Linked DNA regions of Nothobranchius furzeri. The protein of the gene in region 1 interacts with the protein of each later gene in a pairwise test. Links are inferred from orthologs where the notes say so. Each region holds a gene or a part of one and is shown in the gene's direction. Other genes may lie near its edges. The genes, in order: mbip, txlnbb, ppfia1, plekhf2, bfsp2, epb41l3b and mcm7.

Region 1 (3,911 bases):
CAAGAGACTGTGGAAATGCAGCCATAGAGGAGCGACTTCAGAACATGGAGACTCACCTGAAACTGCCGTCAGGTGAGAGAAGAGAGACAAGTGATGCGTCACACATCCTGAATAAAACTGTACAATACAAATAATATAGATATTGTGACATGATGAGCACCTTTTTTTATAAAATATCAACAAGAACATAAATTCTTGATGTTTTTCTTAAGTCACACAAAAAAGAGTTAATCACACTCAAAGATGCACGGATTCTAATTTTTATGGCCGATACTGATTTCTGAGTTTTCACTACTCTAACCAACCAATGATAGTGATGGTGTGTTCATGGACTAGGAAAAAAAAAACAGATTTTATTTTTTTTGTCTTTAACTTGAACAAACTGGGGGAAAATCTGATTCTCAGGTGCTGGGTTGACTGATCACCTTGTCATGTTGAATATTGGCTGATTTAAAACACCAGATGATAACTACGTACATATTTTTGGGGAGAATCTTGTCACACGATGATTTCTCTCCCTATTTTCTGGGTTTTGTTTTAGTCCTTTTTTTCCCAGTCTGGTGTATGGAACATATTATATTTATGTTTTATTCCTCAGTGGGTCCGGTTCCTCTGACCGTCTACCAGCGACTGAAGACGTTGGAGGATCGAATCCTGGAGCTGGAGGGACTCTCTCCTGAGTACTTTCAGTCCACGGTGAGTCTTCTGGATTAAACACACAAAGCTTTTTCAGATAACATTACAGCACAGAGATCTGCATTAGAAACTAAACTTAAATGATGACAGTTCACATAATGTAGTTCAATGCAAATTCAACCAGTGCTCTCTTAGATTTTTATTCTGTGCAAATCTTCATCTTGGAGCACTTTTAGCCTCCCCTGACGTTCACAGATATTACCTCTAAAGCAGTTTGCTTCCATTTCTCCGTAACTTTTACTTCATTGGTCATTTTTTGTAAAAGACGATGTCTGGACCGCCCTTTAGGTGGTTTAACTTATGTGAGTTATTTGTTTTTGAATGTGATAATGTGGGAATGAGGGAGATATATAGTACATTGATGCAACATTCCTGAAGCAAATTTTAAGTCTGAACAGGTTTTAGGTTTAGAGACAACAACAGGTGATCTTGAGCTTCTATGGTAATAAGTAGTTAGAATATCTGCTGTTTTAGGTAGAGTCCACTGAACTGCTACACTTATGTGAGAAGTTTTAGTTATATTTGAGTCACACGAGGTATTTGATGTAACTACAAAAAAGTTTAAACTATTGCAAAGTTTCTTGTTTCAGTTTAAGTATTCTAATTACCTTCCTGAGCTTTTCTTTGGTTTGCTGTTTTATTTTCATCTGGGGCTCATGAACTTAAAGAGCAAGTCACCCCCTACCAGAGTATTACTTCACTCCCACTTCCTGTTTGAAAAATGCAACAAATGCTGTTGCCTAGCAGACAGAGAGGGCGGAGCCACTAACAAATGCACACAGGCTCACAACGACATTGTGACATCATATGGTACCAGCTAACGTCCTAGGGTACCTCTTAGCCAATAGCGATGGCAGATTTAAATTCAAATGCAGTGCAGAGTTTTTACCTGACAACGGCACAACATTGACAGTTTTAGGCAGAAAATTTAAATTTTAACTAAGATGCACTAAAGTGCTAAACTGTTGACTACATGTGTCTGCAGCACGATTAGACATGCATTTATATAGTTTATCAGAAAAAAAAGTTGATTTGGGGATGACTTGCTCTTTAAACCATTAGTGGTTCAAATGCTTTAAGGAAATGAATATTTTTCTAAAATTATGTCGTGATGTCTTTTTAACACTTGGTATTGAAGCCGGGGCTCTGAAAAAAAACTAGTCTAAGTTGAATAGAATCAAATGTTACATTGAAAGAAGTCGGCCTCCTATAGGAGGTAAAATCTTCATTTGTACATAAACTCCTACCCAAGTTGTTTCTCTTCTTTTGCCCATCGAGACAAATTCCAGTTTCCTGCGACAGATCTGCCTCTAATTAGAGAGAAAATCTGTTTTGACAAAAACATTTTTGAACACGTTTGAAGTTTCAGTGACGTGTGTGAGGAACCCAAGAACCCTTTCAGTTATTTAGTGAATGTTTTTGTCACCTGCAGCTGCAGCCTGGGGGTGTTGGATTATCCCTTTATTAATGATCGTCTCTGACACACATTTAGGTCACGGGGGACAAATGAGTCCGACGCAATGGCGATTAGTTGCAGAGATCCATTGTGTGGCTCTGCTGTTGGACTTGATGCTGAACCCACCAGAGTCCCAGACTCTAATTTAGTGAACTAAAGCAGCCTGTCCAGTGTGTTAGCTAGCTAAGTGTGCTTGAGCTGCTGCGCATCTCTTCATACTGGTATTTCTCAGCACAGCACGCTGCTTCTGTGAGAGCGCTGCTCTCCATCTGCTTTTGACTCACTGCATGTTTGTGTGAGCAGAGCAGGAGATGTCGAGTGTCTTTGAATAAACGGATGAAGATGGGGGTCTTTTATGTTTGAATCCCCCTCCCTCCCTCTCTCTCTCTTTTTTGTTTTTTCGCTGTAGTTTGGTGTTTGCTGAAAAGCTGCACTCAGCTGGCCCAGGATTTCAGGAACAACATTCTAATACTCGGCAGTGAAGCGAGGCGCGGCTCCATAAGGAATACTGGAGGGTTTTGTGCTTGCAGTGGGATTAAATGATGGTTCTTCAGGCAGTTCAGGTTTACCCAAGGTCGTTCCCTGAATTCTAACCCCCGCAGCTCCGTTTACAGCCTCTATTGTGATAATATCAAACAAGAGCAAAATAAATCAGAATTTCTTTAAGTCTTCTGCTTCTTTTATAAAATGTTTAGAATTCTGAGTCCGTTTAGAAAGCGCTTGAGTTGAAATGTTTGGTTATGTTTCAGACACATCTACACAAGCGACTAAAGATGTCTCCTGCTCAGGTTTGCGTCCTCCTGCTTTTATTCCCTTTTGTTATTATTTTGTTATGAAAGCTCAGCTGATCTCGTGTTTTTATTTCAGGCCTGTAGTCTGACAGAGCTGGATGAGAAGATCAGCACGGTGAAGGCAGCGCTGCTGAAGAGGATGAGTGAGTTTGGACCCAGATTTGGCCCCGATTGTTCGCTCTGATGCACAGACAGACACGCCGGAGGTGTTACTCTGGAATTAAATGTGCTTTATTTAATTATCCTCACCTGTTATCACAGTTCTCCAGTAAAAACCAGTGCAAAGATCTAGTTTGTCTTAGACTATAAACAGCAACAGTGTCTGTATTCTGATTAATGTAAATGCTGACTGATGCTTTTAGTTTGGAGTTTTTATAAACCAGCATGTGTAATAAAACAGTCTGACGCTTCATCTCATTTATATTAAACAACCTTTCATTGGGATCTTGTTCATTTGTACAGAAATATTTCTTGTGTAAATAAATGTTTTTCCTGCTCAAAAACCTGGAATCTGTTCATTTAGAGACAATATTAAGGAAATATACTTTAAATTAGGATTTTTCTGATATTTTTCCTTACAGGCACATAGTGGGTAACGTTTAAATATAAAAATACCCAACTTACAGTTTTACAGTTTCACTGTAAAAATTTAAAAGCTAGTTTATGAAATGTTCATTTTCAATCCTTATATCATTAAAATGAGCAATTGTGTCCCTCTAAATAATTACATCTTAATAGACTGATTTCATTGTGTGTGTGTGTGTGTGTGTGATGGTGATGAAGCCCTGAGAGAGCACCTGATTTCTCCTCCCGACTGCTGTGTGACGATGATCAGCCCTAATGGTTGTCATTATAACAAATGACCTGATTACTGCAACTGTTTGGAAAACATACTGGAGACCCAACAAACCAGCATTAAATGGGACGCCGCTGCGTTTGACACTGTGACATGTACATAAAAGCCTTTT
Region 2 (4,452 bases), about 1.1 Mb from region 1:
AGAAATTAAAATAACAAAAAAGAAGCTAAATGTCCACAAATTGTTGTTGTTTTGGAGCAGGCACAGCTAACAGCTAGCCTAGCCTAGCGAACTGGAAATCCCTTTCAAACTATAAATTTACAAATATTTAGTAGGAAAATACATTATAATAAACACAGATTTGCTTTGTGTTATTACAATTTTAACAAATAGGTACTGAAACAAAAACTGAACATAAGTGAACGGGGCTGTCAAAGTTATTTCCTGGTCCGCTTTAGCTTACGCACTGAATCACAAATATGTTTTACTTCAATTTAAATGATAAATAATTATGTGTTTTGACTATGTCTGTCACGTAATTTGAGATTTATTTGCTTAAAAAAGTCATAAATAAAAAAATTACAAAGCAGAAGTTGCAAACTTGCAAATATGACGTCGGCGCAGAATCTCATCTCCCTAGCGTAGCTGCTACTTTGCACGTGGCCAGATTTATAACCTTAACTCTGAAAACATATTTTTTATTATTATTTCTGATCAGTCACTAAGTTATGCTGGCTGAACATGAAAATAGTCTCCCACACATATGTCCTGCTATGGTGAAACAAGGATTAGAAAAGCCAGTCAGTGTTAGAGGTGCGTTGCTGTTAAGTAATCTGAGGTAAAATGTCCAAATGTCAGAAAATAAGACAGCTGTGATGAGGCTCACTTTTGGTTCCTGGAAATGCACCGGTGCCCCCCCCCCCCCCCCCCCCCCCCCAAAAGATGATTTCAATTTTAGATATGGTATATTTATTTCCCCACGTTTAGAAAATGGATTCCTACATCAAAGAATTAAATTAGACATTGGGCCCTGTCAACAGATATTAATCTCATATAATCAGAAGGAGGAGAATTTTTTGTGGTCTGTTTATTACTTTTTACAACGTGAAATATAATTATTGAGAGTAATATTCAGTTTCAATGGTGCTGAGCTGGATAATGATGCTGGATTATCTCCCTCCCCAACTACATCGGTCTCTCATTATCATTCCACCTGTGCGGTTCACAACTGTTTAAATTAGAGCCCATCATTCACTTTCTGTCTTTAGGGAGGCAGAAAAAAAATATCTCCAGTGTGAAACTTGTAATAGCTACATCTGGTGGCGAAAATTGAATACTGCAGCTGCAGCGTGGAGGTAAAATAAAATGGGTGCTTCCAAAAGTAGTGTTCACCTTGTAGATAGTTTTCAGCCGCTTTCAGAATTTAACTGTCAGCTCAAAATCAGCAGATTGTGTAAAAAAATAAAAAAAACTGAAAGAAAGGCTTATCAGGCCAGTCTGAGAAACAGCGTTTTCTCTTCTCTCCTGCTCAGTCTCTTTTCATGACTAATAGGAGCGAAGCTTAAAATTAAATCAGCACTGCGTTGATCTAAAGTAGCAAAGGTGCAACACCAAATAACGAGTTTTACTCTGAGGTTTGCAGCAGAGATGAGCTGCAGAGCGTCCTCCCTCTCTGAGCAGTGAGCTGCTCTCTCCTGGTTTATTTTGAGGGGCTCTTATCACAGCTGTTGCATCAGTGGTGGCCGCCTGTCCGAGCCCCTCCACACTCTTTCTGTTCCCCATCTGGCCCTCAGTCCTGGTAAGACCCTGCCTGCTCTTTACCCTGCTTCTTTTCTGATATTTGCACACAAATAACATAGAATTCTTGGTTTCCTAACATCTGTCTCACACGTCTAACAAACGTGGGACTGACTCCAGTGGCGGTTTGGAGTTTGCCAAGTCTGTTGAAGATGAGATGCTGTTAATTGCAGTGAGACTTTCCTGCGTCATTTGCTGTCAGAAGTTAAAATTGTCTGCTGGTGAGAGAAAAGGGAACATTTTAACCTCTAATGAAACGCTGCATAGTTAAAAGAGTTTTCCTACACATAGCTCTGTAAAATTTCCATTTTAACATGTACTTCTTTATAAAAGCGTTAAAAGATCAGAGATATTTGTCTTTATTTGAAGTTTAACCACAATAAAAAGATGTTTTCAAGAAACACTGACCCTGACATAAAAAAAGAGTGGAATAGAATTAAATAATAAACAACATGCCCATATTAAGAAGTTCCTAAAATAGCTTGTGGGTCTGGAACAGGTGCCATTTGCTCTTCTTGTGAAAGCTAATTATATGCATCTAAACAGGCTCTGGCTGCGAGTACGACTCCACAGATACAAGCATGATGGACTTTACTACACCAGGAAAGCTTTGTTCGGGTTTATCACCTCGCTGCTGCAAAGACATTGAAATTCATATAAAAAAAAGGCATTCAGATATTTCATCTAGAGCATTATTTGGTGCGTATTTCTGTTTCTGCAAAAGAAATGTGCACCAAAGTTATGTTTTTAGTCTAATAAACAAAAACAACTTCAGCAGCATAGAATATTTAAATAAGAAAAGCTTCTTGGTGGTGGAATCTGCTTAATTCTGATTAATCTGTTATGATTTCACTCAACAATATGTATGTGAAATCTCCAACCAGTTTTCTCTGTAAATCTTGTTAGGATCTGCAAGGTGCTCAAATGGAGGAAAAACACTTGATATGAGGTTTTTAGACTGAATTTCAAGGTGTTGATTTTAATGTCAGGTTACATAGTTGAAGATTTCTTTATCATTTAAGTGCTGCTAATTTAGGCATCAAACACACAAAAATTCAGGCTGTAAATGTACTCGTTGTTGCTCTTAAACATCACAGGTTTGGATACTGTAGCTGTTGTGGATAGCACTGAACAACCTCAGTTTGGAGAAGCAGAGATGAGTTCTGACTGGACAAATGCTGATCTCAGTGGGGCAAGTCACAGACTGATTAGGAATATCTCAAAAGCCTCACAGTAGTTAGTGTGAATTAACTACATAAGACTCTGGTGGTTTGCAGCAGAAACTAGCTGCTTTAGCATTTCTGAAATTAAATGCTTAAAAGGCTACGGTAGACCAGCTTGTTTGTCATACCAGAGATAATTTCTGTTCCTCTTAAAGCCAGGCGTTCTCATGTGAGAATCTTTGAGGTTGAGGCGAGTTTGGTGTTGTGTGTCCAGTAGTATACAGGGATTACGAGAGGCGATTAGCACCGCACGACCAGCTCCCAATCAGTAATTGCACAAATATCAAACATGTTTGATATTTTCCTCATCCCTCGTGAGGTTATCACACTGTTGGAACAGCGCTGCGAGCCAAAAGTACCAGAACTGCTCACACAGCGCATGCACCAACACGGCTCGTCAGCTATTTTCGTATCAACTCAAGCTGTATTACTTATTTTTATACTTTTCTCTACACACAGTGACAAGGATTGTCAAGAAAGTGTGTTTTATGCCAAATAAAACATTGTTTTACTTCCTTTCTTTTGTCTTCCTTCTCAAACCCCCATAAACCCCATGTTGTCCTTCTATGGCAAGCCCGAAGGATAACACACATTAATAACATAGTTTGAATATGTTCATTTTTCCAAATAAATGCTGAAAAAAAACCCACCAGTAACAACACAACAGGTTTTAGAAATCGAAAGTCTGACATGTTGCGTAAAAACGACTATTTGTAGCATATTTTAGCTCCGATGTGTTGCTAGCACACATACAGTGTGAACAGTACAGTGAGAGAACATGTGAGCTTTGCTCTGCGAGGAAGTCATCCAGTTTGAGATGGAGCTGAATGCTACGAGTGAAAGCCACACAATGTCCACCCGTCCTAACTGATGTTGTCCAAAAGGCTTTATGGAGGATGTAAGATATTCATTGCTTTTGGCCTTTTAAGAGAAACACTTCAAAAAGCGGAACCCCCGCTTTTATGATCTTTTATGGTTTTCTTTCCAGTAAACCACTTTTAAAGTGGCCTAAATTGTACAAATAAATCAGATGTGGCTACACAAACTAATTGTCACGGTGTAGGAGGTGGAGATGATGGACCGCTAATTAGGGAAACATGGGCAGGTAAACGAGGGACAGGTGAGAACAATAAGGGCAATCACGGCAGGAGAGGAACACAGTCAGGTTGGGCAGGGGCAGATCGTGACACTAATATTAAAAAATCCTAACATGTTTTTTGTTTGTAATGGGGAGACTGTTTCTATAAAACCTCAGATATGATGTTTAATTCAACGATGAAAACAGATTTTTTTTTATGTGAAAAAGTGATCAAAGCATTTTTGTTGTGAGATAACAGACAGAGCAGCCGTGATCTGTCTGTAAATGATTTATTTTTGGTCTCTCGTGCAGAGGCAACTGTCTCCTTTGTGTTGCTACTAGCTCAGAATAATGGAGGCTTGTCAGGAGAGCAGCACTGCCCCCACCGGTCCCGAGGCATCTCCGGTCGAGGATCACCACATCGACCTGACAGAAGACCTGGGCCAACAGCTGGAGGACATCATTAGCACCTACCAGGCAGCCCCGAATCCAGCTGAGCCAGAGGACACAGAGGTCACAGCTGTCAAAGAGTCAGACGCCCGCAAGGACCAGAAG
Region 3 (4,313 bases), on another chromosome or scaffold:
ACAGAAGAATATTTTCATGTTGCCCTGCGATGGACTGGCTCTCTGTCCAGGGTGTACCCCGCTTGATTGCCCATTGACCGCTGGAGATAGCAGCCCCCCCGCGACCCTACATGGACAAAGCGGGTTCAGACTATGGATGGATGGAATATTTTAATGTTTAGCTTGCATGTTTCAGAAAGACCGATCATTTATATACATATATAAAAAAGTAAATAATGGTTTCTCGATAAACTTGGTCTTGAAGAATTTCACAATTACAGAAGCTGAGCTGCAAAATTCTTAAACTTTACCAATATTACATTTTTACTTTTGGTAAGACAAATGTTGTGTGTGTTTTTAACATCAACGTATTTAATATAAACTTAATGTTTTGAAGTGGGTTGAGTTTAGGGCTGAAATAAACCATACCTAGATTGTAGAAATCTTTTTTTTCAAAGCCTTATTTTAACTTTTTTAAATTAATTCACTTTTGCAGCGACATAATAAACGCTTCTAGTTTATCTAAACAGTTTTGTCATCTTTGTTCATTAGGACCAAAGTGTAAATCCTCCACATTTACAAAAAAAAAAAAAAGTTTGCATGTTTGTTAGGATTATTAACCTGAGCCTCGGATCCCCACAGGAACTGGGAATGCTGCTGCTGCTGTTCCTTTTCCTCCAGCCAGCCGGGAAGCAGCGCTCTCCTCCCGCAGACCGTCAGGCTGTCCCGACTGCCCAGGCTGGCAGGCAGTGGCGACGGCAAAGGACACGACTCGCGGACCGCTAAAGTGGAAAACACCGAAGAAACCTCTGAAACTTGGACATAAACCACGAATGTTTAAGTTTGGATTTCCCAAACGGACCAGGAACGTCGCAGACAGCTCGGTGTTGGCTGGAAGTTTCCGAGTCGAACGGAACGCAGCCGGGATGTGGTGACGAGACTCCACCGGGAAGCTAACGCTAGCCGGGAGACAAACACTACATCGGTTTCTTAGATCTCAGGAGATCTACTTCGGGATTTATTGTTTTAGAAATCAAATAGTGCGTTTTGTGTCGCACATTCTATAATGTTATGTACTTTTATATGAGATTTAGCTCAAAAGTTACTAAATTAAATTGGCGAGCGTTAGCTACCTAGCAGGCTAGTAGCTGCCGACTTTAAGCTGACTTCAAGCCAAAGATTTCTGTTTCAAATTAACTAGCTAGGCTGCAACAGTTTCCACGTCAGCTGACTCCATCAGCACCCGTGGGCCAGTTAAGAAATGCTACTTTTATCGAGTTTTGCTTCATATTTTACGGTGGCCGTTTGTCTTGTGACGCAAAGATAAACACTTGACTTCCAAATTCAGGTATGCGATCTTCGAATCACCAGCTCTCTTATCAGCTAGCATGCTAACGCCAAGTTAGCCGGCCAAACTTGGGAATACTACCCCCTGCTCACTTTGTGGGTTTGAGGCCTTAAGGAAATCATCCTGTTTTTTCTTCCCAGAAGACCCCATTTCAGCCTTAATCTTGGTGTCTGAACGGGATTTACATGTTTTAAATGACTGGATGTTTCAGAAGTCTCTGAAGGCTGTTGGATTTGTTTAACTTCATTTACAAAACGTGGATTTTAAAGAGTTTGGATTAACGCTAAACTGCAAAGGTGAGTCCAACAGTATGGTTTATGTTACTTTGTGCTGTCAGTCACTTTATTTTAGTAAATTCGACAGAACTTTACATCTTTGTTTGGGTCAGAATGATCCAAGTTTGGTTTATCTTGATGTAATGATGAATAACTCCAGTACTGTTCAGAATCCCACCCCCCTCTCCAGGCCTTTAAAGTTGGTCTTTAACATGTTTGTTTACTTCTTCCTGACTATTCTCAAAGAAATGGCATCACATAGTTTATTAAACCACTTTAGTCTATAAATTATGCAGTTAATGAAATACTTCTTAACTCAAATGATGAAGCAGAGTTGTGTTGATTCATTTACTTTGTTATCCCTAAATCCTGACCTATGGTAGATGTCCACCTGGAGGATCCATGAGAGACCTGAAACTACTTCATTCATCGCACACTTTCCCATTTTTCCACAGACTGAGAGCTCTTCCGTAATCACCTTGTTAGAATATAATTTCCTGTGTTTCAAATAAACAAAAAGTTCTTAAAATGGTACACCACGAGGACTGGGATTAAGTTAAAAAGCAGCCAGTTTGAGAAAGGTTGATTTGGAAAATGGCTGCACTTGAGTTTGACTGCTGGGAGGGAAATCTAGGGAAGAGGCCTGAATTAAGAGTTTTCAACTTTACCTTAGATGTCAACAGTTGGCTAGGTCAGTGATTCCAAAAGTTTGGGTCGGGATGCTACTACAGGTTCTAGGTATTACACCCGGGGGTCGAGATGATCTTCAGAACTCAAACTAAAGAATAACTTCTGTTTACTATCGCTGATGTAAAAGCCTAAACAAATACGAGGCAAACCATTTCTGTTTATTTAGCCTTGAAGCCGTGTTTGGGATTGTGAGTCAGAGTCGGAGGTGTTTGGGCCTACGGGTCTGGATGAAGAACACTGATAACTGGTTAAAGGGATTTAAGGATAATTGTTCCTCCGAGTCTTTGATCCAGGTTTCGATTTGTTATCCCTAGTTTTTTTGTGTCTCTCCTGAATTGCTCACCATCTGTCACTACCTCTCATTGATGCTGAACGACCCTCCCCCATACAGCTGATTCTGAGTGGCTTGACCTCAATATGACAACACTGGTTCTGCATTTTTGCTTCCAGTAAATTAGGTTAAGTTTAACTCAGAAACCGTGTTTATCACATGAAACTAGCTGTTTCTGATAAGAGCTAATTAGGAATGGCAGATTGAGTTTTGTCTTGTTAATTAGCATGTAACAAACAGAGTGCTGCTGAGCTCTGGGTTCACCCAGCTGGATGCATCCTAGATGAAGAAGCCTTTCGGCGGCTGGAAGAGTCAACTGCTGGAAATATTAGCTCTCCAAGAGTTCCTACAGGACTTGTCCCCATTCCTAGGTTGTTGTTCCGTGTAGGTGTGTTAAATCCAGCTCACATGATTCCTGGGCAGTGTGTCTGGCTTTGGTCTACAGACTGTAAGCCCCTTGGTGTTCAGGCTGGTAGAGGTTGGTAGCTGCAGCGTAGAAATAATCACAAAACCTCCAGGTTTCTGATTGGTCACCTGTTTGGGTTAACCTAAAGTTGGCTCATAAGCTTCCCTCCATCCCAACAGCCTACTGGATATTTTCTTTAGCCACCTGCTTAGGAAACAACCTGCTGAGACCCTTTCTGCTCAGTCTTTAAAGTTTGCTGATTAAAAGATTTGGACCTTTGAACTTGTGTGATGCTTTATCTCGGATGTGTTCAGACAGGTTTGTAAAAACAGTTGGTTTTAAACCAGAACTTTTATCAGCCTGAGCAGTTTGTCCTCTGACCTGTACCGGCTGTTTGGACGTGAGCTAATTTACAGTCAATGACTATTTTTTTAAAATCTTTTCCCATTTTTTTCCAGCCATAATTTACTTTCATAATCTAATCTAATATATTAGGGCAAACCTCACAGATGGAGAAAACCTGTCTCTGAACTGCAGCAACGGCTTTGGAGCCGCGACCTCTGACGGAAGGCCCCTCAAACCCACAGGGTCACGTTTTTAAATGAACATCTGACACTTAAGTTGTTCAAAGATACAAAAACCAAAGAAGCAGCCAATCACCTGACTTGACTTCCAGATTTTCATCTTCAAACTTTAATTCTGTCATTTCTCTCTACCTCTGGCTGCAGATGATGTGCGAGGTGATGCCCACAATCAGCGAGGCCGAAGGGCCTGGTGGGGGGAACGGTACTGGGCGCCGAGGCTCCGGCTCTCCTCTGCAGTCAGACTCTGAAGGGCACTTTGAGTCGTTGATGGTTTCCATGTTAGAGGAGCGGGATCGCCTTCTGGACACGCTGAGAGAGACTCAGGAGAATCTGGGCCTGACCCAGAGCAAACTGCATGAAGTTAGCCATGAAAGAGACTCGCTGCAGCGGCAGCTGAACACTGCCTTACCTCAGGTCAGTCCTTATGCAGAAATAGCATACCTGCATCATTAATAGTCATTCATTTAAAGGTTAAACTCCTGTTTTCTCTTGTCAAACCTTATTGGTGTTGGGTTTGGGTCATGAAACATAAGAATTTTCAAATCGGTTCATTATTTCACTTTGTGTAATCACCACTGCTCTTAGTTGCTGCTAACCCATTCGTGCAACCTGGTTGTTTAAGAGCATAAACATAAATAATTATGGTAATTGTTTTTAAATCAGGGAAATCCTGGAAACTGGTTTGAACTCTTAAAGCAGC
Region 4 (4,311 bases), on another chromosome or scaffold:
ATGAAAAGTGTACACATCAGCTGAAGCCAACACTAACTAGTTTCTTATTTTAAATAAAAGTTTAATTGCATAGAAATAAGTATTTAAATAAAAATATTGGTATTTTTTATTTGATACCAGCAACATGCAGGTGAATTTACTTAGTTTTTACATAAAGAGGAGATTTGCACTCCTCCATGAGGCATTTTTCAGTTAACCGGAGGTGAACCAAAGGCCACATGTTTAGTCATCAGTAGAGGGTGGTTGTAAATGATGGAAACAGCTTTTTAGCAGAGGGGAAATGGAAAACAGTGCAAGGTGATGTATAAAATGACAAACAGGTTTATAATAAACTTTGGAGCAAATAATCACTTCCAAAAATTGGGATATTCTAATTTTAGCTAATGTTCCACAACAAGTAATCCGTTTGGTGTGTGGTACATTTGGATGAACCCAACATAGAAGAAAAGCAGCGTTAGGTCAAAGAAATAGAATTTTACTTGTGATGAAAGAAATATTAAACAAAGGAGTTGTTGTGGTGTAAAACCAAACCAAAACAGAGCATGTATATTTGGTTTAGAGAGTGAATGACTTCCTTTTTTCTCCTTTGGGTAATTAAATAAATTGTTATCACCCTTCACCAAACTCTCTGACATTCCAGCAGTGTGGAAATATTCTCGGACTCATTCATTTGAAGTGTTGGGATATTTGACCAACCCTGTAAGGTCACAGTGGTTTTCTAATACACGATTAGTGTTGCTCTAAGCATCGTGGCATAATCTAATCTCCTCCGGTGTCTCGGTGCAGATTTAAGAGCTTTGATGATGCAAGTGAATAATCACATTGACTCTCTTTGGGTGTTTGGATGAACTGATAAGAGCACCGTCTTCCAGTTTTAGGAAGCAAACAGACTCAGATCTAGTTTGTGGTGAATGATCCAACTGTAAATGTGCTCTACACGCTTTAAAATAGTTCCCAAAAACTAATGAATCCAGAAGCAGATTTGGCCTGTAAAAGTATAAAATAAATAAAAAATAATAATGCAATGTATGTTCAACTTATGTTGTGTATTGTATTGATGAATTTGATACTTGCAGACCATCTCTGCTGATAAAAACTGAGATTTAAATCCAGGAATTTAAAATGATGGGGTTAAAACAACAGCATGTGTTATGAACTAGAGTTGGGTGCTAAACAACTAATGAGTGCAAATGTTTTCAGTTTTTAAAGGGGAAAGCCAAAATCTAGTAGTGTTTCCCTAAAAGTTTGAATTAAATGAATTTTGAATGTTTGGATGCAGATGAGCAGCGTCCTAGCTTAAGGGTAGAGTTTTTGCTGCCACAGGCATTAAGAGGGGGAAAGTAAATTATGGGGAGTTTATTCCCATTCCTGTTGTTTGTGGACACTATGGAAACCGTTGTGCTTTATTTTCTTCATTTTTTTGTTAAGGTGTCAGTGCATTTTTCCTACAAAGCCACAACATGTACCATCTTGTTTACTATTTTGAACCCCAGGCAGGTCTCCTCCCAAAAACTTGGCTTCTGTTCTTGCTCATGATGCCTTCACTGTCCCTTGGAATAATCAAAAAAACGAACTACTTCACTACACGACTTGGAAGAAGGAAAAGATTATTTTTCTTTCGAAATAGGTCAAAAATATGACTTCCCAAATAAAAGTACAGCAATGATTTGCTTCTCAGAACAGACAGCTTCACTTCGGATTTACCAGCCATTAGATTGCCCTTGAACGCATCTTCTTAACGCTGCCATGTTGTTGTTTTATCCACGGAGTTTCCAGCTGCTGTCGGTGTCTGCGGACACAGTGGTCAGTTCTCGAGGCAGACTTACTACTTTACCGATATCACCTGGAATACAGCAGAACTTTAGATCTATTGCAGAAGCTATTTCACAGTGAGTGCTACCGTCGGGTATGTAGTTCTTTGGGTTTATAAGTTGACTGATGATACTTTAACTCTTTGGCTAAAGCTGGTTCCGTGGGTTTCAGCTACTTTTTCCTCATTCATGTTAATAGCCTGTAAAAGCCCGCGTTGTGTGGGTGCTTTTCTTTTCCTTTCTCCTAAATGTTTATCGATTATCGAAACTGGGAACCGCTTTTTCACTCAAAACCGAACAAAAAAGAGTGAAGATTAGCTTTAAAGTAAAATGTATGAAGTGCTTGGAAGCTAACGTCTGAGCTAGCTAGCTAAGTCTGCCAACGGGCACCACTTTCTTTTGCCAACTTGGACAAAAAGTTGAAAAGTAAATTGAACTTTGAGACGTGAGGCATTGATAATAAGACTTTAACTTGTTTGTGGAATAATTACGTTCAATAATTGGTGGAAGTGCTGGACAGACTGGAAACACTTGAACAGTTTAGGTGGAAATACTTGGGCAGAAACTACTAACTTCAATGTGTCTTGGCTAATGGTAACAAATGGAAACTGAACTATTCGGGCAGTTGGGAGTCCACCTTATCGCAACACAGTTGTGGACGTGTGTACTCGAGTTTTCTACCACAAAAAAGGGAAGTTTGATATGTCTTCATTGTGTCTAAGTGCATAAAATCTCCATTAGCTTCAGATGACTGAGGGCATAATAAAGCAACATTTATTTACACATATTCTGTCCCCGTGGTATTGAGTTTATTATCTGTTTACAGCAACACACATTTTAGGTTAGAGCAATACTATTTAAATCATTAACACTGTCTCAAAGAAGAGTGAAACATTAAACATAAAATGTAAAAAAATAAAATAAAAATAAAACTTATTTGATATCTATTGCACACAACATTGTTTTAGATTGAAATAGTTCATTTGTTTTTGTATTTTCCCCTTAATTTTTCTAAGTTTGCATTTCTTTAAAGTATGTGTCTATTAAAAATTGTAGCATTTTTCTTATTTATATATTTTCTTATAGAATTTTCTACTTCTCTTTCAAATTCAGTTTCTTTTTTAAGTTTCTGTGACTTCACATTATTGCAAAGATTATTATGAAACCAGGTGAGACAAGCTGTCGTTCAGTCATAGATGAAAACACAACATTGCAAAATATTTACACCCGCACCAGTGTCAGAGGGGGACAAGCTTAACTTTCTATTTTTTAAGGATCTAAAGTAGTAAAATTAGAGCCCTATGAAATCCATTTCATTTTCTTCCCTAGTTGAGATTTTCTTTTTTTTTTATTCAACTTTTTTTTTACATGGTAACAAATGATTAGATAATAAAAAAAATTAACAAGATTTTCTGGGGAAAACAAGCTTTTAAAATAGATGACAGTTTTTCTAGTGAGAGTTGCTTTTTGTTTCTAAAAATGGGTTGCAGTGCCTAAATCTGGTGACAGAATGTCATTCTTACTTCATCCTTACATATTGCACCTTTGGTAACAGCAAGCATTAATAACATGCCGCTGTAATTTCTGCTAAATTATATATAAATAGTAAAATGAAATCAGTGATTTTTGTTACCAGTAGTAGTCAAGACCCCCACCACCAAAGAGGAGTTCAAGCAGAAGATGCAAAAAAACAAACAGACAAAAAAAACATCAATAAATGTACTCAAACTTTAAAACTTCAATGCTTGTATTAAAGCCAATTTATTTTCAGGCTGTATTTTTAATGTTTGTTTGCATTCTAGCTTTACAAATGAAGGCAGTGGTCTTTCAGGATGTGGCATGTTACTCTACAGCTAGCATAGCCTCTGTTGCAATGTGTTGCATTTTAAATGACACAGTTTTAAATGTGATCCTCTTCATTTGCGTAATGAGGTAGGAATGCCCACAGTTATGTTTAAAACATTCTCAGGAATCTTAAGCCTGCCGCACACGAGAGCAATCTGCAGAGCAAACGGCCTCGAATGACCGTTGGCTCAGCAGATTGCTCGCCGTGTGCACCTGATTTTCACTGAGTTTTCCACCTCACAAGAAGCTGAGACGAATATCTGACCATTCAGATATTTTCCGCCTCACGGGGGGTAGAAACTCACCGTGTGCGCACTACTGAGCTGCCGGCTGAGCTGAACTATTCTAGTGGCCAATCGAAGCGCCTTCTCTGATCACATGATTCCAAGATGGCAGCCCCCTGTCTGCATGTCAGAAAATAAGCAAAACGGAGACAGAGCTGGAAACGGAGGAAATGCCTCTACCTTTTTTGTTGACGAAGCGCCGCCACCGGCATTTCAAGGTTAGGAAAGTTATGGGTACGGTGGCTGGAAATAAGGGCCAGGCGAAGAGTTTGTGCCAATTTACTCCCAAGAGATGCGACTGAAAGACCCAGAATCCTCAGCGTCTCGTGAGGCGGAAATTTAAGTGAAAATCAGGCGCACACGGCGAGCGA
Region 5 (4,504 bases), on another chromosome or scaffold:
TTAAAATGACCCAACTGGATAGTTAAAGCTACCCAACAGCCTGGGTTATAACACAACTCTACAATAAGATGTCATTGTAAACAGTAAAATACAAGATAAATAATTCAATATAGAAAAAAAATGAACACAATAAAAAAGTCATGTCTCCATTCAGATGTTCCTCCATGTTTGTTACAGTCTGAGCAGAAGGGGAAAGAGAAAGAAAGACTAAAAATGCCCTTAAATGGTTGTGGAGCCAACAGACTCAGGCTGGATGTGGTGGCAGGCCTTGTGAATCTTCAAGCTCACTCAGGTGCAGATAAGAACCAGCGGCAGCTGCAGCAGCATCCTGTCGGTCTGTGAAACCAGACGTGTCTCGTCTCTCTGCATGATGTAACTATAAGATATGAGGCGCCATCCGTGGAGACCGCAGATGTCACGTGTGAGCAGAGAGGACGCCAGTCTTCTGATGCCGACGCCACAAGACCCAGATGCAGGAAGCTGACCTCAGATGACCCTTAGCATGGATGGATGAAATGAGCTAAATGACATGTGAGAAAAGAGGAAACACAACCTGGTCCTGAGATCAAAACGAGCGGAGGTCAGAGGTCACGTTCCATGAGCTGCTTTTCTCTCCTCACATTAAATCTGGGATTATCCCGAGTCTGGATGTGTGTGTGTTTGTCAGTATATGTGTGTGTGTGTATTTGTGTGTGTGTGTGCGTGCGTGCGCCATGCGTGCGTGTGTGTGTGTGTGTGCGTGTGCGTGTGTGTGTGTGTGTGTGTGTGTGTGTGTGACATAATGACCTGACCTGTGTTATTTACTGCGTGAAGGTCCTTGAGACGACTCTGGTCATTTGGAGCTGTAGAACAAACGGAACTGAACGTGTGGACTGGTTGACCTTTCACTTGTGAAACTGTCTGAAACCTAAGTAGAAGCTGGAAACTGCTGGTGGCTGCGTTAGCGTTCACCACTTCCTGTCAACAACCTCAGCATCTCCTGTAGCTCCAGAGAGCTGGAGGGTACGGGGCTGGATCTGTGGTCTCCTGGTCCAGTGGAGATGCAGGACCACGGCCCCAAGGCCAGCACAGCTGCTAGAGTTACCACAACTACCAGGTCTCTCATGGGGGCTGAAGGGTGAGCGAGTCAGCGGTCTGCAACCTGTGGCTCTGGAGCCACAAGTGGCTCTATGAACCTTCCATTTTGGCTCTTGATGTGAAAAATAAAGTAACTCTTGTTTTTAATATAGTTATAATAAAAAATGCAGGTTTAGTCAGCTTAATTAAGGACTAATTTGACTGAATTTAATAACAAAAATGACACTTAAAGTACTTGTTTTATTTGTAAATCTATCTATGTTTTTGTTTTAAATCATTTTCTGCAAATAACCACAGAAAAAACACCCATGTTCTATTTTAAAGTATTTTCTACTTTAAAACCCACCAATAGAAAACAGAATTGTGCATTTTGAGCATTTATGGAAGAGGGAAAAAGATTTCAGAAATGTGATTTTAACCTCAGAGTGTTGCTTCTGTTTCCATAGATACTGCAGACCTCTGGTCTAGATGGTGTCCATCAGCCAGAGTCTAGAACACCCCTCCCCCGCCCTGGTGCTGATGCAGCTGAATCATGACTCCATGTTTCTACGGGAACAAAAGCCATCAGTCAGCTGCCGCACAAACAGCTCCTGAACAAAAGTAGCTATGTTTCTAGAAGTTCAGTACTCCATAAATCCCGGTGGTGAACAGATCTGAGCCGTTTGACTTTGGGACCTCAGCGCCATGCCTCTGGCCAGACGTCGCTCGTCCTTCTTGGGACAGCCAACCGCTGATCGCCCAGTGTCTATCCCCTGTGGTAGGATGGGCATATCCAGTACCAGTACACCCCATGGAGTCTTTGTAGGCCCCACATCCTCAACTACATCTTCTGGACTGGGAACACGAGTGTCCCGCAGGGCTCTGGGAATTAGCAGTGTGTTCCTGCAAGGAATGAGGAGTAGTGCCACACCAGTTGTGCCTCGATCTGGGGAGTGGGCTACAGGAGGTGGAGCAGCAGCAGGCCTGAACAGCTCCCTGATGGAGTATCGAGACAAAGTGAGAGCGCTGGAGCAGCTGAACCAACAGCTGGAAGAGCAGATTCGCCTCTGTCTGGACCGAAAGGCCTCCAGTGCTGGGGCCTGGGGTCCGCTCAAGGCAGAGTGGGAGGACATTTACAGGCAGGTAAGGATGGGAGGAAAGGTGAGGGGCTGAGGGAGGACAGAGGGGGTGTCAACACTCTGCGTTCCTGTGTTCTCTGCAGGTCAGCGAAGCCATCCTGGACAATGCCCAACTGATGCTGCAAACTGAGAACGTTCAGGCTAGCGCCGAGGATTTCAGGGAAAGGTCTGACAGTGTTTGATGTCAGCTGATCAATCAGTTTGAATGTCCATAAGAGCAGCTGCAGTCTGAAATTCACCTCCTCCAGAACATCTCCTCTAGTCTGGCAAGCCAGACTAAATAAATGTAGTATTTAACTTTGCAAAGCAAGAATTTGGTCTAGTTGACTAGGCTACGTCTCCTTGTCTCCATGACCTCCAGTCTGCAGCTTCAGTCAGACTTAGCTCATTTGCTCTCAGACAGTGCCCCCTGGAGGCTGAGAGGAGGTGCTGGAATGTGCCTACCTGCAGGAGGAGTTGGTAACTTGTTGCTCTTTGCAGGTACGAGACTGAACAGCCCTTTAGGAGGGCTGTGGAGGAGGAGATCAGCTCCTTGTGCAGAGTGATTGAGGAGGCAAACATAACAAAGGCGGAGCTTGAGGAGCAAATGCAAGACATGAGGGCGGAGCTAAGGTCTTTGGAACGCAGCCATGAGCAGGTTGTATCAAAGACAGAAATTTAGGACAATGTTTTGCAGCTGGGTGTCAGATCCCTTCGCTTACCTTCAGTCACCTGTTGATGCAGGACGTGCGCGCTCTTTACAACCAGATGGCTGGACGGGAGGTGGACGAACCTGACGCACCCATACAGACTAGTCTGGACCAGATTCTGGCCTACATCAGGAGCCACTGGGAGAAAGTGACAGAGAGGAACCGAGCTGAGACCGACAGCTACTTGGAGTGTAAGGTAAGGATGAGACATCTGTAAGGTTACTTCACAAGTGTATCTAACCTGTGTGTGTGTGTGTGTGTGTGTGTGTGTGTGTGTGTGTGTGTGTGTGTGTGTGTGTGTGTGTGTGTGTGTGTGTGTGTTTTCAGCAGGAGGCACAATGTGTGGGTAGCAGCTCGAGCCCAGAGGAGGAGCAGGTGGAGGCACTGAAGGTGGAGTGTGGTGATGTTGGCTGCAAAATCCAGAGTCTTCAGGCCGAGACGGAGTCCATCAGAGCGCTGGTGAGACACATGAACGCTGACCTGGTTGACCACCTCATCCATGACTAGACCAACCAGGTCATTAACTTACAGCTTTATTAGTCCACTGACGGCTGACCCATAAACAACAAAAACAGCGATGTACTCAAATGTGACCCTAACCCGTCTCACTGCCTCTGTTCATCACCCTAACCCGTCTCACTGCCTCTGTTCATCACCCTAACCCGTCTCACTGCCTCTGTTCAGCACCCTAACCCGTCTCACTGCCTCTGTTCAGCACCCTAACTCGTCTCACTGCCTCTGTTCAGCATCCTAACCCGTCTCACTGCCTCTGTTCAGCACCCTAACCCGTCTCACTGCCTCTGTTCAGCACCCTAACCCTATCCCGTCTCACTACCTCTGTTCAGCACCCTAACCCGTCTCACTGCCTCTGTTCAGCACCCTAACCCGTCTCACTGCCTCTGTTCAGCACCCTAACCCTAACCCGTCTCACTGCCTCTGTTCAGCACCCTAACCCGTCTCACTGCCTCTGTTCAGCATCCTAACCCGTCTCACTGCCTCTGTTCAGCACCCTAACCCGACTCACTGCCTCTGTTCAGCACCCTAACCCGTCTCACTGCCTCTGTTCAGCACCCTAACCCGTCTCACTGCCTCTGTTCAGCACCCTAACCTGACTCACTGCCTCTGTTCAGCACCCTAACCCGTCTCACTGCCTCTGTTCAGCACCCTAACCCGTCTCACTGCCTCTGTTCAGCATCCAAACCCATCTCACTGCCTCTGTTCAGCATCCTAACCCGTCTCACTGCCTCTGTTCAGCATCCTAACCCGTCTCACTGCCTCTGTTCAGCACCCTAACCCGTCTCACTGCCTCTGTTCAGCACCCTAACCCTATCCCGTCTCACTACCTCTGTTCAGCACCCTAACCCGTCTCACTGCCTCTGTTCAGCACCCTAACCCGTCTCACTGCCTCTGTTCAGCACCCTAACCCTAACCCGTCTCACTGCCTCTGTTCAGCACCCTAACCCGTCTCACTGCCTCTGTTCAGCATCCTAACCCGTCTCACTGCCTCTGTTCAGCACCCTAACCCGACTCACTGCCTCTGTTCAGCACCCTAACCCGTCTCACTGCCTCTGTTCAGCACCCTAACCCGTCTCACTGCCTCTGTTCAGCACCCTAACCTGA
Region 6 (4,497 bases), on another chromosome or scaffold:
GGGACACCTCAGAGTTACGCTCAACAGAGAGGGTAGCTTTGCTATGAAAAAAACCCCACCTCAGACAGATAAGCACACAGACACACAGTCCACTTACTTGGACAATTAGATAATTTTGTGCAAGAAGATTTTTCTGCAGCTCTCCAGAAAAGTCATTCTTTGTTGGATCACTTGGTTTTATTAGCTTTAGCTATTAGCCTATTTGCATGCAATACACAGAAAAACAGATGCTTAGTTTAGAAATTAGTAAGTATAAAAAATAAACAGTTGCTCATAGAAAGGTAATGCTCAAACTGCTCAGGAATATTTCTATTTTAGCTGTTTTTGGTGGAAGAAATTCAGTCTGGAAACGTGCCATCCAGTCCAGTCCTGCTCTAAACAGCTCTTAGCTTGAGTCCACCTAAATAATTTCTCCCTGATTCTCTAAACTGAGCCCACTCTGCTCTCTATAAGAGGCAAAATATGCAGAAGTACTGCAAAGTATGTCACTTCAACAAATGTATACCAATTCCTTTAAATTTGCACAGATCCTAATCTGCACTGAAGTAATGGCTCCTGTTGATACACTGTTTATGTTGGCCTTTCATGTTGGTCATGAGCTTACTGAACTGAAAGCAGCAGACTGTTATCAGAGTAATTTACAACACTTTGCAGTTAGCTCATTTAGATTGGTGGTGAATTAAAGTAATACAAATATCCTGAGAAATCATTTGGCCTGTGATGATGCTGGTGAAGTAACCCATTACTATACTTAAAATGAGATCATTTGTTTACAAATAAATATACCATTTCACAAAATGGTTTGTACTCAGACATTTGCTTGTTTCTCTATTAAACTCTGCCTTTCGTTTTGGTCAACCTCAACAATTTTCAACAAAGCTAGGAAGCTTTAAAGTTTATTTTAACAATGGAGTCTATATTTATTTGATGGTTTGATACAAAATGTGCAGTTAGTTATTTTTTGCAAATACTTTTTAATAGAAGTACATTAGCAATGCATTGAATTGGTACATTCAGAAAATTAAGCAACAAGTTGATGTCTGTTACATTTTGTTTTATTCAACCTAATACATAAACTAAATTACAAAAAGTAAAATGCATTTGAGTGTTTGAATATAAAAGTATTAAAACATTCCCTAACAAATGTTGTTCATTGTTTGCATACTTCCTATATCTCTTTTAGAGTTACCTTCACCATAGTATAGCCTCAGATGAAAAACAGCAAATTAAAAGTAATGATTTTCTTTGTGAAAATTAAAAGATGACATTTGCATTTTATACTAAATTTACATTCTTAAATCTGCAAATTTACTTTTCAAATTTTTGCTTTTGACTTAGGAAATGTAATTTTGACAATAGGAAACGCAGATGTTGATAACGTGAAGACAACAGACATGGTAGGTATTTGATTATATGCTGCAACGGACTGCCTTAATATCTAACCTCACTCGGCCACCTTGTGGTCATGTGACATAAAGATGATTATCTGCTGCTGGTGCGTGTCCTCCCGCGGGCCACCGGTGGGTGGCAGTGTCCCTGTGTTATTTGAGACGGGTTTTTTTTTTTTTTTGGGCGTTCGGAGGTGTTCAACTGGGCCTGGTTTTTCAGGCGGCAGGGGCGGGGTTTAGCACACTGTAGAGGGGTTTACCAAAGCGAGCTCTTACAGGTGTTCGGTCCTTTATACCCGGACGAGCCCGGCGTCGGGATTTCCTCGTCAGTCCGGTGACGCAACTCGGTGACAGCTGGTGTTCTGGGAGGTGTTGTGTCCCCGCGGGCTCAGGTAAAGTGTTTACTCGTACTTATGTGTTGCTTCCGCTTCGTTTAAGCTAAAACGCGAGTGGGTTTGAGCACTTTTGACAGCATTAGCATAAAACTAACATCTGGGTTCATTTGTTTTTCCGTTTAAATCGCCCGGCTTTGAACGTGACACCTGCTGCTTTCCTGGCGACATGGGACACGAAACGGTGAGTTCACGTGTTTATTAAAAATCTGGAAATATGACAGACTCACATTTTAAACATGTTTGGTGCAGCCGTTCATCTTTGGTCAGCACTTTGAATAAGGCTGATTTTTAAAGTGACATACACTTTAGGAATATTTCTTTTAACTATTTAATTTTAACTAATTAATCGTGACTTTAAAATGGATTTATTTTAAAAACAAACTAATTGCTCCACGATCTGATAAAGTCTCTTTAAAAGTGCTGATTGTTTCCTGTCAAACGTGTATAATCATTATCAACTTTTCTATTTTCTGTCTCAGGAAGTATCTTAACCAATTTCTGCTTCTCACTGCTGAGACAGCAATGCTATCCTTTTTTCTAAAACCCTGGTGCAGAAATACCTCATTTAAAAGAAAACGGTGCTGGGCACAGGCTGACCTTTCAGAAATGGGAAGTTGTCACAGCGTGGATTTCCTCTGGGGTCTGCTCAAACTGAAGCATCAGTGAATCAGGGAAAGAAGAGCTCTTTGTTGTAATATTCTCCTTCATGAGCATATCTCACAGCATCACCATGGAGCTTAATGTGGGTCCAGATAGTTCAACAAAGGCTGTTTTATCTTGACAGTTGTGTTTTTATATGCTAAATAAGAAGGCTGATGGTTCTGTTTTCTCATTGTTGGAGTTTAACATGACATTTGGGGGTTTAGTTGTCAAAAATCCTCTAAATTACCAAATTTTTCTATATTTAGTGGCATTTTTACAACCGAAGTAAAAGTTTTAAGGTTTAAGTGGGAGATTTTAAACGTGCTGGACTTTATACTGCCAGCGTCCAATGACAAAGTCCAGAAAACGTGCCAGAGAGGTCATATCTGGATGAAGCCGGCCGTCTTTATAACTGTTCTTCCTGTCTGTACAGATGTATTGATATTTATTTTAAAAACAAGCACATTTAGAGATAAATAAGTAGCTGTTTGTCATCCTAAGCGTGCTCTCAGTGCTGCTAATCTGTACAATTTCTAGTTCTTATATTGTGTCTCACTTGATTAATTTCCAAATGTTTTGTACAAGCATTAAACCAGATTGTGATTGTTAATCCAGTTTGTTTATAAAACATTTGTTGAGCTGATTAGATAAATCTCTGTTTTGTCTCAGTGACAGTGATCTAAAAATGGGCAAAACTTTGTTTCACAGGTGATAAATTTGTTCACATCATCCCTTTTGGTGATACCACATTAGATATGCAATCATAAACAATCATCTCTCCCAGATTTATGAGATTTTTGACCCTATTTCACTGATTGAGTTAATAAAATCTACCAATATACTCTTTATTAGGCCCGAGCAGCGAAGCTGCGAAGGCCTATTATATCTGCTCTGTTTATTTTTTTTTTCTTCCGCGCCTTCAAATGGCTTTTTGGGGGTCTTACCATATCCAAAAACTCACCAAATTCTATCCCAATACAGAACGTGCCTGAAATTTATGTATTTCAATGGCGATGTGAAGGTTGCTAAAAAAGTGGCTCGACAGTGCCCCCTTGAAAATTAAAAATACCCCTCTGCTTTGACCCTTTTTTATCGTAGAGTGATGAAATTTGGTACACTTGTAGAACTCAACAATTCGCACATAAAAGCCTCTTGCACCCTGGTCATTATCAAACAGGAAGTCGGCCATTTTGGGCTAAAGTAGCGATTTTGACCTCGTTTTGGTCATTTGTAGGGTCAGTATTTGGTTGAACAGTTTGGTAATTTTTCGCACAATCGTCTCAAAAATAGTGTGCGATCGATCAGAAGGGATGGACAGTTGAAATGAGAAAATAAAATTGACTTTTCGTAAATACTGAAGGGGCGGGGCCAGGCCTCGAAGTTCGAGCACTCGTCAAAAAAATTCAAATGGCTATAATTTCATAAATGAAAGAATTACAGTTAAAGTTTTTTATGGACATTTCTCATTGTCCCCCAAAGAAAATTGAATGGTGGATTGATGATGTCACACAAGCCCCACCCCCTCAAGACTAAAAAGGCCAAGTTTTACTATGAAATTTCCCAAAATTCACCATTTTGTATACTCACCACAAACTTATAGCAGGTAACTGGAGACAAGTTGGGGTTGCCTGGCCTCACTTTATGGGAGCTTTCGAAAGACAGCGCGGCTGTGATGGCGCGGCGAAGTCAGGCGTAAAGCCATGGCCATACGATTTGCCTCTCATTTTGTCAATTCTAAAGCTATCGCCACAAAATTTCTCATTAGTGATCCTAGTATGATTCGTAATGAAATTTAACATCAAAAATTAGTAGGGGTGGCCAATTCTTTGAAATAGCGCCCCCTAGCACCCTTAAAAGTGCCAGCCCCAAGCCATGCTTTGACTGAGGATTGTGAAATTTTGCACACTTATGTAATGTCTCAGGACCTACAAAAAACCCTCTTGAAGCCATGCTCAATATCCCACAGGAAGTCTGCAATTTTGGTCCAAGTACGCCATTTTGTGTTTTTTGCACACTTCAAAGGTACGTCAATCCCCAAGCGCCCTTTACCCCCATCGCCTTTAAACCTCTGC
Region 7 (4,572 bases), on another chromosome or scaffold:
CAACAGTTGAGATATAACTGAGCATTACAGATTTTTTTATAAGTATTAAATCGTCAGTTAGTCTACAGGAATAACAAAGTATAGACGGGGCACACACAGGGCGACAGTGGCACAGAAGTGCTCACCCTGTAATCGGAAGGTTGCAGGTTTGAGCCCTGCTTAGTCCATCGCTGTGTCCTTGGGCAAGACATTTAACCCACCTTGCCTGCTGGTGGTGGTCGGAGGGACCGGTGGTGCCTGTGTATGGCACTCGCCTGTGTCTGTGCCCCAGGGCAGCTTTGGCTTCACACCAGCAGCGTGTGAATGGGTGAATGACTGATTGTGTTGTAAAGTGCCTTGGGGGGGACTCTAGAAGGTGCTATATCAAATACAGACCATTTACCTTGTGATGTTCACTAGGTCACAGATGCCTAATGTGAGGCCCACCAAGCAAGGAACAGCCTCTTCCTCCCAGTCTGCACCCCCTCACGAGCAGGAGGATCTGAATTCCCACCTCACCATGTAAGACTGGTCTAGAACTAAAGGGAAGATGGTTTTTGTGAATAACGTTTTAACTCTTAAACAAGCTAATTAATCTGTTTGCCACTTAGGCTTTCTCTGATAGAGGATGACATTTCAGAAGAAGAGGAGCCTGAGATTGAAGATTATGAAAGTGACCTGGAGTCTGGATACACACTGGTAAAACAGCAATACTGATAGATCTTAGCTTTAGTAATTTAGGATTGATTTGGATAAAGGAAAACTTTGAAGATCTGAGTTCAATTGGGATTTGTGGAGTTATAATACAGTCTGAAGACTTGATTTAAAACTATGTGAATAAAATAATTGTATTCCTGGTAAGATTAAACAGTCAGTCTCTCCATTTTCCCCCTAAAGCCCTCAACACGCCACACCTCTGCCAGTTTCCTGGATGAGCTCTTTGAGTGATGTACTGGAACGCTTCCACCATTTTCAGATGCCATTTTTATGTTATCAGTGTTTGAAGTATTTGCATGAATTGAAATCTCAGCCACCTGTTCATCCCTGTGACTACATCTTTATCTTCATGTTATCTGACTTGCTGCAGTTTGCCATTAAATGATTGAATTGTTAATGTTCTGATGAAAAGCAAAAACTGATATTAAAAATGTTTAGTACAGTTATCCGAATGAAAGCTAAAGCTACCTATTTTGAACACATTTTTGCTTTGTTGATGTGTTTTTTATATAATTGTTCATAAAAAGTGAAGTATTATCGGTTCGAAGTCTGTAATAAAATGGAAAAGCGAGTTAGTGGTGACAATTCATTCCAAAATTGATCATCATTTTACTCCGTTTTTGAGACACTTTTGATGAGTGTTTCAAAGCAGCCTGTGTCTGCATGCACTCTGCTGTTAACGTGTTGAGTTGTTTGTGTGTAACATACAATAAATAACACCCATTGTGATGAGTTGTGTTGTCTTTAGAACATTTCGCGCCATTAGTGGAAAACCCCGGCGGAAGTTTTCATAACCATGTGACACGCAGCTTCCTGCGATTTTCGCGCCACCAAAACGTCCCGCCCATACTTCGTGAAAGATGCGACGTGATTTGCTGCTGGCCGAGGAGAGTGGCGCCAGTTTCTACTCTTGAGACCGGGAGAAGTTCTGGCTGCATGTGAATGAATTCAAGTCTCCGGTGCAAGAAATTTGCTAAACTCTTAAGTAAAAACCTCGTTTAGGTACGTGGGCACCTCAAGATCTCGTTTTCAAGTTATTCGCCTGAACATCAACGTGTGCTGCCATGGCTCGTAAAGATTATCTGGCAGAGAAAGGTAAATAGTTGTCTGTGTGTGTCAGTAACAGCATGGGTGGTAGCAACAGGTTGGACTGAAAGTCTTAATAAATGTTACCTATATGAAGTATGTGTCTTTCAGAGTTGAATTACATGTTCATGTCCTGTTTCAGTAGTTTACGTCACTAGCGTTTTTAAATATTGCCATTTGAGTTAGATAGAAAATTACCATTTTAAATATGTGTACGAATATGCGTCATTTAGCAGCGATGTAATGGAAGTACTAGTTAAGTATTTCACAGTGAGTTTGTTAACGTTGGGTCGTCGGTAACCAGTTTAGCGTTGTCTGCTCTTTACTACCCGGTGACCCGGATGGATCCTTAAACAAAGGAAACAGGCGCCACTGTGCAAGCACATCCGGGAACGCGCACACTATCAAGACGTGTAGAGTACATAAGTAGTCAAGGAACGAGTGCAGACAGTCGGACCTTTCAAAAACTACTTTTGCAAAGTTATACTCTATGCTGTCGACGTGTGTCGGTGTAAAATAAAATGATTTAGTTTAGGGGTAATCTATGTGGTCGGGAAGTAAAGGAAAATCCTTCACCCAACTATGTTGTACTTTTTGTCAAGTGTCCGTTAACGCACCGTCTGGGCTATATTTTGATTTTACAGGGTTGAACAGTGCTGTTAGCTTTTTCGTTACTAGCTAAAATGAATTTTAATACTGATATTTGCTTCCAGCTTATTCGTTTTCAGCATAAACGATTATAGCTTTGGTTTATGTTGATCACTCACATGGGTTTGGAAGGGCTCTGTAGCAATATGTGGTGTATTAATGAATCGTATACACGCGTAGTTCCTGAACGTAGTCGTGTTCCGAGTCTAATTCAGCGAACGCACTAACCAGCAGCAATTTCTTAGTCGTCATAAACGTCTCGTGGTAAGCATTAAGCAAACCTCCTCTCGCCGCTTAGTGATTCTGTCATCAGGACATTAGAAAAGGCAGCGCAGCTGCTGCGTTCACAACTCTAAGCTAACCTGGGCTAATGTTAAAAAATGGCTGGCCACGGTTTGAAAACAACAACCGGGACTGGTTCTAGGAGCGGAGGAATCGCGGAGGGATATCTCCAGTGACTGGGCACAAAAGCCATGTGCTGCTTTGTTTACAATAACATCCTCGAACATGGAAATAACCCCACGACGCAGCAAATTTCCTCTACGGCGGTAAAGTAAGTGGAATATTAAGTTCAGTTCGAAGGCTTGTTCCGTCGCCCGTGGCGCCTAGTTAAATATCGTTGGTAGTTGTGGCTCCTTCGAGAAGTGAGGGGGGATATTTACCAGAGGAAGGGGAAAAAAGGACCGAACTGAGCGCGCCTGTTGTGTTTACGTTCCCACCCCGGGGCCATACGCTGCGTAGTACTTGTTATTTCACTCTAAAACTAGGAGACGAGACTCACATGAGCGACATTCGCTCCATGTTGAGCCCCAGTGACAGTTTATGTTGAACTGTAGCAATAGTGACTCATCGAGATTACAGGATGCCGTGTTACTCAACAAAGGGGGGCTCGTCGTAGGACAACAAACTAGCTCCCAGTGTGCAGGCCCTCTGCTGTTGGGTTTAATACTGCTATTTTAGGAAAGGGACATATGTGAACGTGGCCTTTTTATTTAGTCTTGTAAAGTGGAGCTGTTGTGTTTTTGTTTTCAGAGAAGTGCAAAAGGTTTCTGCAGGAGTTTTACACGGAGGATGACGATGGGAAGAAGGTGTTCAAATATGGAGTGCAACTTGTGAGTATAGTGAATGCTTTTTACGGAAAGAGGTTTTGTGATGTAATTCTGTTTATCTTCCTGCTTTGACAACTAGTTTGTGTTTTGTAACTAGGTTGTTTCTTTTTTGTCTCGTCGTTCTATATCGTAGTCATTTGTTGTTGTTTTTTTGTTTTTTTTTCTCACAAAAGCACATGTGTAATTGTTTTCTGAAGCTTGACTAATTATTTGTTTTGTGTGTTCAGGTGCAGCTGGCCCACCGGGAGAAGGTGTCCCTGGTTGTTGAGCTGGAAGATGTGGCTGAGGAAGACCCAGATCTGGTTGAGAGTATCTGTGAGAATGCAAAACGCTACACAAACCTGTTTGCTGACGCCATACACGAGCTGCTGCCAGAATACAAGGAAAGAGATGTATGTAGATCTTAGTTTTGAGTACATTTTTTAAATCCGCTTCCAGTGCATTTCAGATTTTTTATCTGAAGGAATTCTAAAAAGATACATTTTGTGCTTAGATTGTGGCCAAAGATTCCCTGGACGTGTACATTGAGCACAGGCTGATGATGGAGCAAAGGGGTCGTGATCCGGCCGACACCAGAGATCCACATAACCAGTACCCACCTGAGCTCATGAGGAGATTGTGAGTAGAACCAGATTCGTAATTTTCCTTGTGTGTTGGGGCTTTTTTCACTATAGTGGCTTGTTTCTGCAGTGAGCTCTACTTCAAGTCTTCCAGCACCTCAAAACCCAAAGTGGTGCGTGATATCCGGGCTGACAGCATTGGCCATCTGGTCACAGTCCGAGGCATCGTGACCCGCGCCACCGAGGTCAAACCGATGATGGCTGTAGCTACGTACACGTGTGACCAGTGTGGTGCTGAAACCTACCAACCAGTAAGATCTGGTAAAACCACTCAAGTTTTGATGTAAGATTATTATCCTCATGATGTCCTCCTCATGCACCCACCAGATCCAGTCCCCCACCTTTATGCCTCTGGTCATGTGTCCCAGTCAAGAGTGTGTCACCAACAAATCTGGAGGACGACTCTACCTGCA

What was found.
Region 2: the proteins of mbip (region 1) and txlnbb interact in binary tests that used the Homo sapiens proteins (3 or more experiments, as listed by UniProt). The two-hybrid records come from large-scale screens. The link is inferred for Nothobranchius furzeri from reciprocal best matches to the Homo sapiens genes MBIP and TXLNB.
Region 3: the proteins of mbip (region 1) and ppfia1 interact in binary tests that used the Homo sapiens proteins (3 or more experiments, as listed by UniProt). The two-hybrid records come from large-scale screens. The link is inferred for Nothobranchius furzeri from reciprocal best matches to the Homo sapiens genes MBIP and PPFIA1.
Region 4: the proteins of mbip (region 1) and plekhf2 interact in binary tests that used the Homo sapiens proteins (3 or more experiments, as listed by UniProt). The two-hybrid records come from large-scale screens. The link is inferred for Nothobranchius furzeri from reciprocal best matches to the Homo sapiens genes MBIP and PLEKHF2.
Region 5: the proteins of mbip (region 1) and bfsp2 interact in binary tests that used the Homo sapiens proteins (3 or more experiments, as listed by UniProt). The two-hybrid records come from large-scale screens. The link is inferred for Nothobranchius furzeri from reciprocal best matches to the Homo sapiens genes MBIP and BFSP2.
Region 6: the proteins of mbip (region 1) and epb41l3b interact in a two-hybrid assay, tested with the Homo sapiens proteins (2 studies listed by BioGRID). The two-hybrid records come from large-scale screens. The link is inferred for Nothobranchius furzeri from reciprocal best matches to the Homo sapiens genes MBIP and EPB41L3.
Region 7: the proteins of mbip (region 1) and mcm7 interact in binary tests that used the Homo sapiens proteins (3 or more experiments, as listed by UniProt). The two-hybrid records come from large-scale screens. The link is inferred for Nothobranchius furzeri from reciprocal best matches to the Homo sapiens genes MBIP and MCM7.

The regions. Positions count from the first base shown.
Region 1 is NC_091758.1:21,132,809-21,136,719, reverse strand, and holds the end of mbip (MAP3K12-binding inhibitory protein 1), read left to right. Parts: coding exon 1-72; intron 73-598; coding exon 599-696; intron 697-2,561; coding exon of another isoform or gene 2,562-2,576; exon of another isoform or gene 2,577-2,699; intron 2,700-2,901; coding exon 2,902-2,940; intron 2,941-3,019; coding exon 3,020-3,127; 3' UTR 3,128-3,364; downstream 3,365-3,911. UniProt on the Homo sapiens protein: Inhibits the MAP3K12 activity to induce the activation of the JNK/SAPK pathway. Component of the ATAC complex, a complex with histone acetyltransferase activity on histones H3 and H4.
Region 2 is NC_091758.1:20,072,621-20,077,072, reverse strand, and holds the start of txlnbb (taxilin beta b), read left to right. Parts: upstream 1-1,474; 5' UTR 1,475-1,597; intron 1,598-4,209; 5' UTR 4,210-4,248; coding exon 4,249-4,452. UniProt on the Homo sapiens protein: Promotes motor nerve regeneration. May be involved in intracellular vesicle traffic.
Region 3 is NC_091749.1:65,289,605-65,293,917, reverse strand, and holds the start of ppfia1 (liprin-alpha-1), read left to right. Parts: upstream 1-1,482; 5' UTR 1,483-1,623; intron 1,624-3,757; coding exon 3,758-4,027; intron 4,028-4,313. UniProt on the Homo sapiens protein: May regulate the disassembly of focal adhesions. May localize receptor-like tyrosine phosphatases type 2A at specific sites on the plasma membrane, possibly regulating their interaction with the extracellular environment and their association with substrates.
Region 4 is NC_091745.1:67,586,846-67,591,156, reverse strand, and holds the start of plekhf2 (pleckstrin homology domain-containing family F member 2), read left to right. Parts: upstream 1-1,243; 5' UTR 1,244-1,889; exon of another isoform or gene 1,890-1,906; intron 1,907-4,311. UniProt on the Homo sapiens protein: May play a role in early endosome fusion upstream of RAB5, hence regulating receptor trafficking and fluid-phase transport. Enhances cellular sensitivity to TNF-induced apoptosis.
Region 5 is NC_091751.1:33,756,977-33,761,480, reverse strand, and holds the start of bfsp2 (phakinin), read left to right. Parts: upstream 1-1,544; 5' UTR 1,545-1,761; coding exon 1,762-2,199; intron 2,200-2,278; coding exon 2,279-2,361; intron 2,362-2,675; coding exon 2,676-2,832; intron 2,833-2,918; coding exon 2,919-3,080; intron 3,081-3,211; coding exon 3,212-3,343; intron 3,344-4,504.
Region 6 is NC_091751.1:43,055,821-43,060,317, reverse strand, and holds the start of epb41l3b (band 4.1-like protein 3b), read left to right. Parts: upstream 1-1,617; 5' UTR 1,618-1,780; exon of another isoform or gene 1,781-1,964; intron 1,965-2,004; 5' UTR 2,005-2,045; intron 2,046-4,497. UniProt on the Homo sapiens protein: Tumor suppressor that inhibits cell proliferation and promotes apoptosis. Modulates the activity of protein arginine N-methyltransferases, including PRMT3 and PRMT5.
Region 7 is NC_091741.1:79,972,145-79,976,716, forward strand, and holds the start of mcm7 (DNA replication licensing factor MCM7), read left to right. Parts: upstream 1-1,649; 5' UTR 1,650-1,760; coding exon 1,761-1,791; intron 1,792-2,190; exon of another isoform or gene 2,191-2,983; intron 2,984-3,462; coding exon 3,463-3,542; intron 3,543-3,766; coding exon 3,767-3,931; intron 3,932-4,032; coding exon 4,033-4,157; intron 4,158-4,229; coding exon 4,230-4,410; intron 4,411-4,486; coding exon 4,487-4,572. Other genes in the region: cohesin subunit SA-1, read left to right, coding at 400-501, 591-678, 877-927. UniProt on the Homo sapiens protein: Acts as a component of the MCM2-7 complex (MCM complex) which is the replicative helicase essential for 'once per cell cycle' DNA replication initiation and elongation in eukaryotic cells.